Linked DNA regions of Danio rerio. The protein of the gene in region 3 purifies or fractionates together with the protein of the main gene of each other region. This does not show direct contact. Links are inferred from orthologs where the notes say so. Each region holds a gene or a part of one and is shown on either strand. Other genes may lie near its edges. The genes, in order: kpna4, kpna3 and kif22.

Region 1 (3,654 bases), on a different chromosome or scaffold from region 3:
AACACTGATTGCTACTCCACACACAAACACGAGCGTCTGCTCACCTCCACACTCCTCGATGAGGTTGGCCACAGTCTCCGCTTCATCGTCGGCCATCTTGAGAATGTTACTGAGGCCGTCCAGAACCACCTGCACTACCTGAGCATCCTTCACAGTCAGCAGGTTACAGAACGGAGGAATCACCTGCTGCTGGATCAGGTACGCCACCTACAGGATAAGATCACACCGTGTTTAACACTTCAGCTTGTTGGAAATCCTTGAAAATGCCCAAATTGGAACGGAACAAGTTTGAAAAGTGCTTTGATTTTGGATAAAGTGCTTGGAAATGTAATAAAATATGCACACACATATTATTCATCCATTCATTTTCCTTTGACTTGAGTTCCTTTGTTCATCAAGGGTCACCACAGCAGAATGAACCGCCAACTATTCTGACAAATGTTTTACACAGCGAATGCCCTTCGAGCTGCAACCCAGTACTGGGAAACACCCATACCCTACAGCCAATTTAGATCATTCAATTCCCCTATACCACATGTGTTTATGGGGGAAACCGGAGCACCCGGAGGAAACCTACGCCAACACGGGGAGAACATGCAAACTCCACACAGAAATGCACACCGGCTCAGCCAGGACTTGAACCAGCGACCTTGCTTTGAGGCGACAGTACTAACCACTGACCCACCGTGCCACCCACACATATTATGTGAAGAAAAACTTATTTTGGATTCAATTAATTTTTGCCAAGCACTAATTCTAACATAGTAGAATTGAAATAAAACAATAGTAACTAAAATAATGTGATGAAGTATGGATGAATTATAAATATGCAAGTTGACATGTAGGAAGAGTTTGAAAATGCACCCAGAAAGTGCTTATATTCAACATTGGGAAAGGTGCAAGAACCCTGACGCATGCTTGTGCACCTGAACACACACCTGATCCTTTCTGCCACTGATGGTCAGGTTGCTGATGGCCCACGCTGCTTCCTTCTGAGTGCCAAAATCTCCCTGCGAGAGACAACAACATTACATGGAGAGACTCAACAACAGCAGTGCCATGTTCACGGTAACATTAAAATGTGCCAAAAATTCAGCTCAGTTAAAATTCTCATAGTTTAGTGCAGGGGTTCCCAAACGTTTCAGCCCGCGACCCCCAAAAGGACAATGCCAGTGACTCGTGACCCCCAATATTCTCTGAGGTGGTGGTTATAAATACAGAAACCTTGTATGCAATGATGCACACACACACTAATAGACCCAAGTCTATTCTTTGTTTTTTTAATGTATGTCAGTGCTGTAAATGGGCTAGAAAGTTTAACCTGGTGTTATAAAATCAATCTGCTGCATCTGACAGTATTGCTGTGTCTTTAGTATAATGTAATTACCCAAGAAGTCACAATCCAATAGAACTATTAAATATAAGCTACTATAGTAACTATATAGTTTATAGTAACTATAAACGACTATTTTTTTCTCTTCAGTAAGTTATTGATGAAATACAGTAAGTCTTAAGGTTTAATAAAAATTAATTGATTTTTGGAAATCACCAGGCGACCCCCCTTCATTGTCCCGCGACCCCTCGGGGGTTCCCGACCCCCACTTTGAGAACCTCTGGTTTAGTGAAGCAGAAACACCTCAAAGTCTTAACTTTTGCTTCTCTGGGTCCTAAAAATATTAAAGTTTTTATTTTAGGAGTAACAATTACATTCTCTACCCACGTTAAACAGACCGCTCTCCCAAAAATTACATTTCCTCACTAATAACTGATTGATTCCAAATATTTTTCTGTTAAACGCTAAAAAATAGGCTTAAGCTGGAAACCTGCAACCATCGACCTCAGTGATATTTGATTTTTCTACTTTGTGTTCAACTGAGGAAAACCTTGGACGTTTGAATCAAGTAAAGGTAGGGCTGGGCGATTTTTCCCTTTTTTTTTTTTATTCATTCGAATTTACGTTTTAAGACGATTTAATTTTGAATCAAATCGAGAAATCACGATTCTTAAAAAAAATATATATTTAATACATTATAATGGCACCAATGCGCTTTGGTTCACTCTATGAAGCAGGAAGCACACCAGAAGCACTTCTCGGCGATGCACAGCACCACGCAGCGCCATGGATTTTAGAATTCTAAACCGATTTCTATACACACACCGGCGCCACCCAGTCACGATTTACGAAGCAGTTCATATTTCATCCAGCCCACAGAGCGCCATCTGATTAGTTTCATGTTAAATATCATGTCAATGTGCGCGTTTGGTGTGTGATAGTTTAAACTGTCATGTGCGCACCGTGTCGCGGCGCTTCTGGTGTGCGACCTGCTTGACTGCCTGTTAAAGCATGAAGTCATGTAGGATTTTACTTGTTGCATTAGTCTGAGTCACGTCTGTGTGTATTGTCAATATTGTGAACGCTAAAAAAAAATAGGCTTAAGCTGGAAACCTGCAACCATCGACCTCAGTGATATTTGATTTTTCTACTTTGTAATCAAGGGTCACTAAATGATGAGCGAACTTTACACGTATACAAAAGGATCGTTCACCCAAAATGTAAAGCGCTTAGAGTGTCCAGAAAAGCGCTATATATTTAAATATAAGAAATTATTATTAATATTATTAGTTTAGTACTACTAAAGCTGAAGTGTGGGTGGTAAACTTGTTAAAGAGAGCTCGGGTCATCACTCACCTTATCCAGCAGCAGAATGATCATGGGCACCAGATTGGCATCAATGACGGCCTGAACCTGCTGCTGGTTTCCTGCTGTGATGTTGGACAGGAACCACACAGCCTCCTGCAAGAGCACAACATCCAGATTCATTACACATCAGCCTCACATGTCCTAACAACAAGACTGCAGCAACAAGCAAATATTCTGACCTCAGCAAAAGCAGCGCAACACGACAGAAACATTTAAACACCAGCCACTGCACTCCCAATGAAATGCTGAAGGCTTTTGGTCATTTATTAAGGTCTACTTAATAAATATTTAACATTATTAATAGGCTGCTGAGTGACTGATGTTATTGGTTTGAAAATCAAAGCCCGAACCGTGACCCATTGCAAATCGTCTGCAAGTCATTTTAATTTTCAAGACATGAAGTTAACTATCAGCATGGCAATAAATGCCCATAATCAGTAGCTGAGGTGATCTAAGTCATTGAAGTTTATGCTGTTGTTTTAGTGCGACGTTGCAGAATTAAATAATATATATATATATTATTAAATTCTGCAACGTCGCACTAACAACAGCATATTAACATAAATTTTGCACGCTGCTGTTTTAAAAAAAAAAAAATCCGTAATATGGAAAATATACATTTTTGCACGCATCGTATCGTGTGTTGTTACAACACAGTGTCAGAGCTGGTAAAAGCGTGACACTGCACGCAATAGAGCAACTTACACAGGGTTTCGTTTACAACACTTTAATGTAAATTTAGGTTTATTCAATACTTACAGGATTTAGCTTGTAGGGTGGTTTATAAGATATTTATGATCATGCATTTTCACAGCAAAACACAAGAATTAAAGCAAACTAAGCTTTGAAAAAAACAACAACATTACTTACAAAATATACATAAATGTTGTTTAAAAAAGCCCCTGTAAAATCCTGGAGGGACCGGCACAATGTATTAGCATTTAATAATATAT
Region 2 (3,654 bases), on a different chromosome or scaffold from region 3:
ACATGGGGTCGAATTGGCCGGCTGCTTTCGAATATAAAGCATGCTAGATATTGGATTTCCATCTGCGAGGTGTTGGCGATGTGTCAGCAAGCCTCTTTGATGTGTTGTTCAGTAGTTCACACATAAATACTGCCAAGCACCCCCAGATTTTTTCCCTAACTTAACTTCCAAATCGGGCTCAAAATCATGTAGTGTGAACTAAGCCAGTGGTTCTCAAAGTGGGGGTCGGGACCCCTTGAGGGGTCGCGGAACAATGAAGGTGGGTCGCCTGGTGATTTCCAAAAATCTACTTATTATTAGGCCATAAGAATTACCATATTTTATTCATAACCAACTGAAGAGAAAAAAACAGTCGTTTATAGTTACTATAGTAGCTTATTTACTTGTTCTATTGAATTGCGACCCCTGGGGTAAATACATTATATTAAAGACAGCAAAAGCGTCAGATCCAGCAGATTGATTTTATAACACCAGGTTAAACTTTCTGGCCCATTTACAGCACTGACGTACATAAAAAAAAATTAAACGAAGAATAGACTTTGGTCTATTGGTGTGTGTGTGTTTGTGCGCCATTGCATGCAAGTTTTCTGTATTTATAACCACCTCAGAGGATATTGGGGGTCGCGAGTCACTGGCATTGTTATTTTAGGGGTCGCGTGCTGAAAAGTTTGAAAACCCCTGAACTAAGCTATAGTAAATGAACTGAAACATTTAATTTTGGGTAAACTATACCTTAAAAAAAAGCAAAGAGCAACTATTATGAAGGTATGTTGACCCGAGGCTAAGCGAGATATTTTTAGAAAGTATTAATGTGTAAAAAATGCAAATCTTTCATATCCATATCGCAAAACTTTACCTGGCTGCTTGCACTGCACTGAGCTGCACCACTGCATTGTCACTGGTGGCGTTCTGTAGAGAAAAAACAAGACAAATGGAGAATGAGTGGAAGAAGAGAAGTGAGCCTTCTGCTAAAGCCTCTCTCACCAACAATAACATCAACACGTGCTAGAATCTTACCTGTAAGATGGCATCTAGCGTTACATTTTGCTGAAAATAAAGAGCAAAAAGTTTAGAAAAATAATAATCTTTAAATGAAAGGTATGAAGTGAGCAGAAATCAGAAAAAAAACCTCTTACCCCTTTAAAGTCAGAGTCCACGTCAGAGTCCTCCAGACTCTCTTCTTGTGGAACATTTCTTTTCTTCAGGAGATGCTCGTCTCTTTTGTTCTATACAGATTGAGAAATAAAAACCATCAGCTTCTTTACAATTAATCTTATTTAAATGCATCTTCATTTGACCGAACGCACCTAAACAAATACAAACTAATCTGTGATTTTTCATCCTGAGAATACACTTGAGCAAATTAGCGAAAACTCCACTTGATGCATTAAAATGTATATTTAATAACGGTATATATAACAAAATATTGGAAAGAAATACACGATGCCTTACAAAAATTTTTTAAATCTGTGATAACCTTTGATTGTAAGTATTTTTGTTTGGATATATACCCGAGGAATGGTTAAAAAGAGATAGATATTTATCGAACATTCTGTTAGTGGCTGTTAACAAGAGCATAACCAAAAAATGGTTGTCACAGGAAAGTGCTACTCTAAGTGCATGGATGGAAATTACACTGGAAATTTATCAAATTGAGCAAATTGCCGCATTTGTAAATGAGAAAACTGAACAATTCATTTCCTTCTGGGGAAAAAAATGGACCAATTATTCAACATCCCATAGTACTGAACGTTTTTGTTTAAAATTGGAAAGATCACTTCTGTACATAGTACTGTTGCTGATGTGCATGTACAGTGCTCAGCAGAGGTGTGGACTCGAGTCATGTGACTTAGACTCGAGTCATGAATTTGATGACTTTAGACTCGACTTGACAAAATATAAAAAGACTTGCAACTCGACTTGGACTTGAACATAAATGACTCGGACTTTGACTAGGACTTGCCCCTATTGACTTGTAAAGACTTGCTGCTTCCCATGAAAAGCCCAAAGATAAAAAAAAAGTATGTTGACATGGACCGCTCTCTCTCTCTCCCCGTTTATGTGTGCGTGTGTGTGTGTGACAGCATGCGTGCGCGTGTGTGTGTGTGACAGCATGCGCGCTTTCGGCATGACATCCAATCAAAGCACGGTAGATTGTTTTGATTCGTCAGTATCCAACGTGACTACTATGAGGCGCCGGAGTGGACAAAAGTCAAGCGAACGCAGAGAGAATTTGAATTTGAGATCTAGCCAATACTCGCGTGCCAATACTCTGTCTCTCTCTCTCTCACATACAACATACACCTCTCTCTCTCTCTCTCGCTCGCTCGCTCGTGCATTCAGTCTCTTTGCGTTCACTTGACTTTTGTTTACGATGGCGTCTCATACCTTTAGTGCTTTTGCTATAACGGGATCCTCCTTTTAAACTGACCCTTCGCTAAGCCACGCCCAAAAACTGCCACCCACCAATCGCGGCTTACCAATCGTGGCTACGGACAGGGAATCTGTCAAGCTTTCGAGCGAGGGAAACAAGCCAAATCGTTGCGCAATTATTGGATTGTGCAAATCTGACACCCGCTATCCTAAAAGTTTGGACTGGGTGGTGGGATATTTCCCTTTTCAAAACCTAAAGCCCAAGAGGAGAAATGCCAGCGTGGATCAAGCTGTGTGAGGGGCGGTAAAGGAGTTAACAGCTAAGTTGATTTTGTTTTCGATATTCACATTCAGTGATAGGTGGCAATAACTCACACTCCTCTTATCCTAAACAGATCTAAACTGTGTTCTTATATAAAAAAAAGCAGGTTATGTTTACCAGCTGTCTTTTTCTTTTTTTCCACTCGATATTATGAGCACTGCTTAGTTTAAACCCTCGCCATTGTAACGCATATAAATACATACACTAATATTTGCTGGTAGGAAATATCTATTTGTTCACTTCTGTTATTTATACTTTGATTTGCATTTCAATTTTTTTTTCTTCCACTTAACTGCAAATTTGAATAAAAACTGGATAAAGAGCACACAAACATGCTGACAGTAATAGGTACTGTACACTTTTATGGGTCAATGATGCTAATATTCGGCACAAATCCATCAGTTTCTTAGGTTATTAGATTATTTTATAATTTCACCTCTCCTGCTGTGCATGAACTATGCTGTTGAATGTTCAGCGTATGAGGTTGCTAGGCTAACCTTGCTTCAATTTTGATAAAATTATTTTCTAATCAGTTGCTATTATGTTGTGAATATACCCCTGTAATGTATACTGCAGTCCTCTTTTGTCTGGCTTTCTCAGATATCTCACCTGTTTAAAGATAAATTCTGTTTATAGATAAATTCTAGTGTTTTTGAGTATTATACTTGTTGTATACTTGTATTATACTTATTATAGTAGTATTAACAATAGTGAACAGATAAAATACAAAGTGTAGTTTTACTACAGTAAAGTGTAGTGATTTGTAGTATAAAATACCCTATATTGTAAAATAATACAGCACTGGGTAATTTGTTTATATTACACTTGTGTTACCATAGCAACTATAGTATTACCACAACTGATCAATTGAAGTTCTTTACTGTAGTAGGCTACTGTTCAAAACACAGTACATGCCAATATACGTGTTCAGGGGCCCTGTGGAACAGCTTTCCTCAAAA
Region 3 (4,315 bases):
GAGATAATGTTGTCCTAAAAATAAAACAAAACAAATGTAAATAAAAAAAAAATCTTACACATACTTTAGGAACAGTATTACCAGAAATTTTGGCAGTTTTAAAGGGCCATGAAACCCCCTCGTTTCAGCAGGGTGTTTTCACACCTCTACTTTGGAAAAAGTCAGAAAAGTGGGCGTGTCCAGCTCTGTTTAGGGGGGAGTGTCGGAGGAACTAAAGTGGGATGGTGTGGGAGTGTCTATTTGGGCACGCGCGAGTTTCAGTCAAAATACACACACATGACAAAAGTGATGGTGTTTAACCTACATGGACATCTGTAGTCGAATTATTTGCCAAATTATTAAATGGTGGACTTTAATTGCAGTTTGGCTCTTTCATTCAGGGAATTCATTCATGCCCCTCGCGACAAACGCGATATTTGATTCGAGGATCTGCTCTAAGCGTGTATTTTTCATGCAATGTTTGATACCGCACGGCGAATGAGAATAAAAAACTCAGCATTTCCCGGAAACTTAGATGCACACGGCAGGTAGCGTCAGAAAACCGCGTGTGTTATTCCAGTCACAAAATGCGGTGCTATGTTTGCACTCAGTGCAATAGTTAACTTAATTCGATACGAACAAACTGAATAAACAAAGAGCACTGGTCGCTCACTTACCAAATCTGTAGAGACAGGACAATCACCAGCAACTAGAGCCGCGTCATTATGAAGAGAAGACTAACGTTACAAGCGAATCCGGATTTCAGCGTTTGCAGATGAGAACAGCTCTCAGGTAAACAATAATCCTCCTTAGACACGTAAGTTATTGTTGTCGAGTGTCGCGTACACTGTAATCCACACGTGACTCCAGCTGAACTCTCACAGAGAGAAAATGAAAACGAAACTTAATGGCAGCAAACTATAAAAGCAACACTTCACGCTTGTTTTGCCAACACAACGTGGCGTCTCTGGGGCGTAAACACGGTGACACTAATGAATATTAATGAAGTTGCACAATAGAGCGCGCTGATTGGTTTGAACCAAGCCTTACTCATGCATTAATGCATCAGACTGTAAGACGTAATAAGACACACTCTGGAACAGACGTCCAGTCTGCACGGTGGAATACACGCTATTATGTCATGACCGTGACGCAGCTTCAAAAATTCGTTTCAAACAGGAAGTACGAATTTGCTTGAAATAACGCAAAAACAACCAATTTACACTTTTTAGTGAAATATAGGTGTCCTAATAGTGTTTTTAGCAGTGTGGGACACATATACGACTGTCAACAGCTCAAAAAATGTGTTTTGGTGTTTCGTGACCCTTTAAAAGCTTGACTTCTCCAAACCGCGGTATACCTTAAGACGGTTATCCCATGCCTAGTGAAGAGACGATGCAGATCATAGAGGACAACGCACACATAATTAACTTCATTAAACATGCACACATATACATCACCTGTATATGCTATAAAATTGCAGGCTAATGATCTCTGTATATAATAACTTAAATTTGATTGTAGCTTTAACTTTTTATTTAACTTTTAATTGAATTAATGCTATAATGTGCACCTTTCAAAAAGCTGCTTTGAAACAATAATTATTGTAAATATACTTAAATTGAACATACTAAGATGTGTGAATATGCATGTATATGAAGAGCTCTATGGCAAAAGCCTCAAAGTGCCATCAAAAATTATCTTCTAAAATATATTTTTTTAGCTTCCTTTGTGTTCATTAATATCACTTTTATGCAAAATAAAATAGTTCTTTTTAAGTGAGGTTACGGAATTAACACATTAGGGTGAGAAAAATGCTCACTTTAGAAGATAGAGGTAAAGTTGGTTTTATATCAGTCTTTAAAGACAGATTCAGACTTTTTCCTTTATAATATAATTTCAGATTAGTATTCTTTTGCAAGGGAAAATATGTTATATTATGATTTTCAAAGTACAACATTGTTGACAGTTTATTAGATAGTGCTAATGTTGTTTTAAAGACATACTTGCATGCTAAATTCTGGCCGAATATTCAAACTGGTCTGGTAAACAATAAAGAAAGAGTTAATAGAACAAATGTGCAAATATTAAACCAACTTTACATTAATCTTTAGACAAAAATTACAACCGCCACCTGGAGTTTTTTTTTGCATTTGAACTCTTCATATTTTCCGAGTATGTGTGTATTTATTATGTCAGTGTTTTTATCGATCACTGTTGGTAACTTATTTATAAAATTCTCTTTGCGATGAATAAAGTAACTTATCTGTCGAACTTATCTTCATGGAAGTTACCACGCTATTGTTACTTTGAATATTCGGTCTGAAACCGCATGCAAGTATAACTTTAAAACAACATTAGCACAATTTGATTGACTGTAGAATGTTGTAGTTTGATAGTCGTTGGCTGCTATTATGATTTGCCCATGTTTAATTTGCAGAGAATAACGTTACTTTAATGAAATGACATTATTACGGAGAAAAACCCGAATGTGCGAATATAAAACCAACTTTACCCCACTCGTTAAACATATGCTACAGATATACAAATGACATACTTTAAACATAACATCGATTAATAGTAATATTAATGCTTTAAACGGAAAACGCTGCCGCTTTCTGAATGTTTATCCGCTCTGAGCGCGCGGCCGCTGCTGAATTAAAGGCCTGATGGGCTTTCCCCTTTCAAAAATCGCTAAACAACAACCGCTTTTTGCGAAACATACAACAAGTTTACCTCTTCACTTGTGCAGCGGCTAATCCAGTTCTTGAACGATATATAATTCACACTCGGGTACAATGTGAGTGTGTTTTTTAAAAATTACTCAATTCAATGCATCACTACTTCCGTATAAACTCCTTGACAATGGCGCCTCTCGGGTCGGCACGGTTATTTTCAAAATATAAAGTCTCCGCCTATTTTGCTCATTTTAACCAATCAGCACTTCTGAATTTAGAAAACGGAGTTCTTCTCCAGAGATTTTTCAGAGGAAACATACAACACGTAAGTTACTGCCATCATTCGGTGATGCTGGGGAAAAACTCGTTCTTCGTCAATCCTCCATTTCTGATATCACATTCGATTTGTTTTACTTTTTACAAATATATTTGAATAATAAACAAGCAAATTCATTCAACGTCCCCGTCAGCGACATCATGTGATGTGTGCGATGAAATCTAAACACGTCGTATTTTCAATATGGCTTCAAAAACAGCAATCAGTAAAAAGTGAATAGTCAAATCACTTTCAAACACTTACACTTTATATCCTTATATTTAATTATATTCTATATATTACTTTACATATTATTGCTCTTTTGTTGATTTTCATTGAGCCTTTACTCTTTGGTCTAAACTACAGCAGAAACACTTTGTAAACAATCTGCTTTATCTATATAAGTTTTACACTCTCACTTTCCTGATATTTACTATAGTAATGTAGAAAAATATGTTTTGTATTAAAATGTTCTGGTCCTTCAACCCTATCTTTTTATCTATTTTCAGTTTTTATTTCTTTCTGTCTGTCCATAGATTAACATTAATCAATGTCATCTATTACCTGATTAACAACAAAAGCTAACAAAGTTTTTATCTGTTTTCCAATTTTCTTTATATAATTATAATAAAATCTATACTCACTGGCCATTTCATTAGGTATTTATCAAATTTCTCATCAGCCAATCACATGGCAGCAACACATGGCAGCAACACTGCCTTGTTGATACCAGAGGTCAGAGGAGAATGGCCAGACTGGTTCCAGCTAGAAAGATAACAGTAACTCAAATAAGCACTCGTTACAGCCGAGGTGTGCAGAGGAGCATCTCTAAACACACAACACGTCCAACCTTGAGGCAGATGGGCTACAGCAGCAGAAGACCACACCAGGTGCCACTCCTGTCAGCTAAGAACAGAAAACTGAGGCTACAATTCACACAGGCTCACCAAAACTGGACAATAGAAGATTGGAAAGACGTTACCTGGTCTCGATTTCTGCTGCGACATTCAGATGGTCGGGTCAGAGTTTGGCATCAACAACATAAAGCATGGATCCATCCTGCCTTGTATCAGTGATTCAGGCTGGTGATGGTGTAATGGTGTGGGGAATATTTTCTTGGCACACTTTGGGCCCATTAGTATAAATTGAGCATCGTGTCAACACCACAGCCTGCCTGAGAATTGTTGCTGACCATATTCATCCCTTTTGTGACCACAGTGTACCCATCTTCTGATGGCTACTCAAGCAGAATAACGCAACATGTCATAAAGCGCAAATCAGCTCAGACTGGTTTCTTGAACATGACAATGAGGTCACTGTACTCAAATGGCCTCCACAGTCA

What was found.
Region 1: the proteins of kif22 (region 3) and kpna4 purify together in Homo sapiens (affinity purification with mass spectrometry; 3 studies listed by BioGRID and IntAct, counting the BioPlex papers as one, with this or other methods). This does not show direct contact. The link is inferred for Danio rerio from reciprocal best matches to the Homo sapiens genes KIF22 and KPNA4.
Region 2: the proteins of kif22 (region 3) and kpna3 purify together in Homo sapiens (affinity purification with mass spectrometry; 3 studies listed by BioGRID and IntAct, counting the BioPlex papers as one, with this or other methods). This does not show direct contact. The link is inferred for Danio rerio from reciprocal best matches to the Homo sapiens genes KIF22 and KPNA3.

Annotation. Positions count from the first base shown.
Region 1 is NC_133190.1:1,641,292-1,644,945, forward strand, and holds part of kpna4 (importin subunit alpha-3), read right to left. Parts: intron 2,795-3,654; coding exon 2,690-2,794; intron 1,011-2,689; coding exon 939-1,010; intron 208-938; coding exon 45-207; intron 1-44. UniProt on the Homo sapiens protein: Functions in nuclear protein import as an adapter protein for nuclear receptor KPNB1. Binds specifically and directly to substrates containing either a simple or bipartite NLS motif.
Region 2 is NC_133176.1:49,989,646-49,993,299, forward strand, and holds part of kpna3 (importin subunit alpha-4), read right to left. Parts: intron 1,227-3,654; coding exon 1,137-1,226; intron 1,048-1,136; coding exon 1,018-1,047; intron 910-1,017; coding exon 857-909; intron 1-856. UniProt on the Homo sapiens protein: Functions in nuclear protein import as an adapter protein for nuclear receptor KPNB1. Binds specifically and directly to substrates containing either a simple or bipartite NLS motif.
Region 3 is NC_133187.1:5,588,403-5,592,717, reverse strand, and holds the start of kif22 (kinesin-like protein KIF22), read right to left. Parts: upstream 2,850-4,315; 5' UTR 1,314-2,849; intron 106-1,313; 5' UTR 1-105. UniProt on the Homo sapiens protein: Kinesin family member that is involved in spindle formation and the movements of chromosomes during mitosis and meiosis. Binds to microtubules and to DNA. Plays a role in congression of laterally attached chromosomes in NDC80-depleted cells.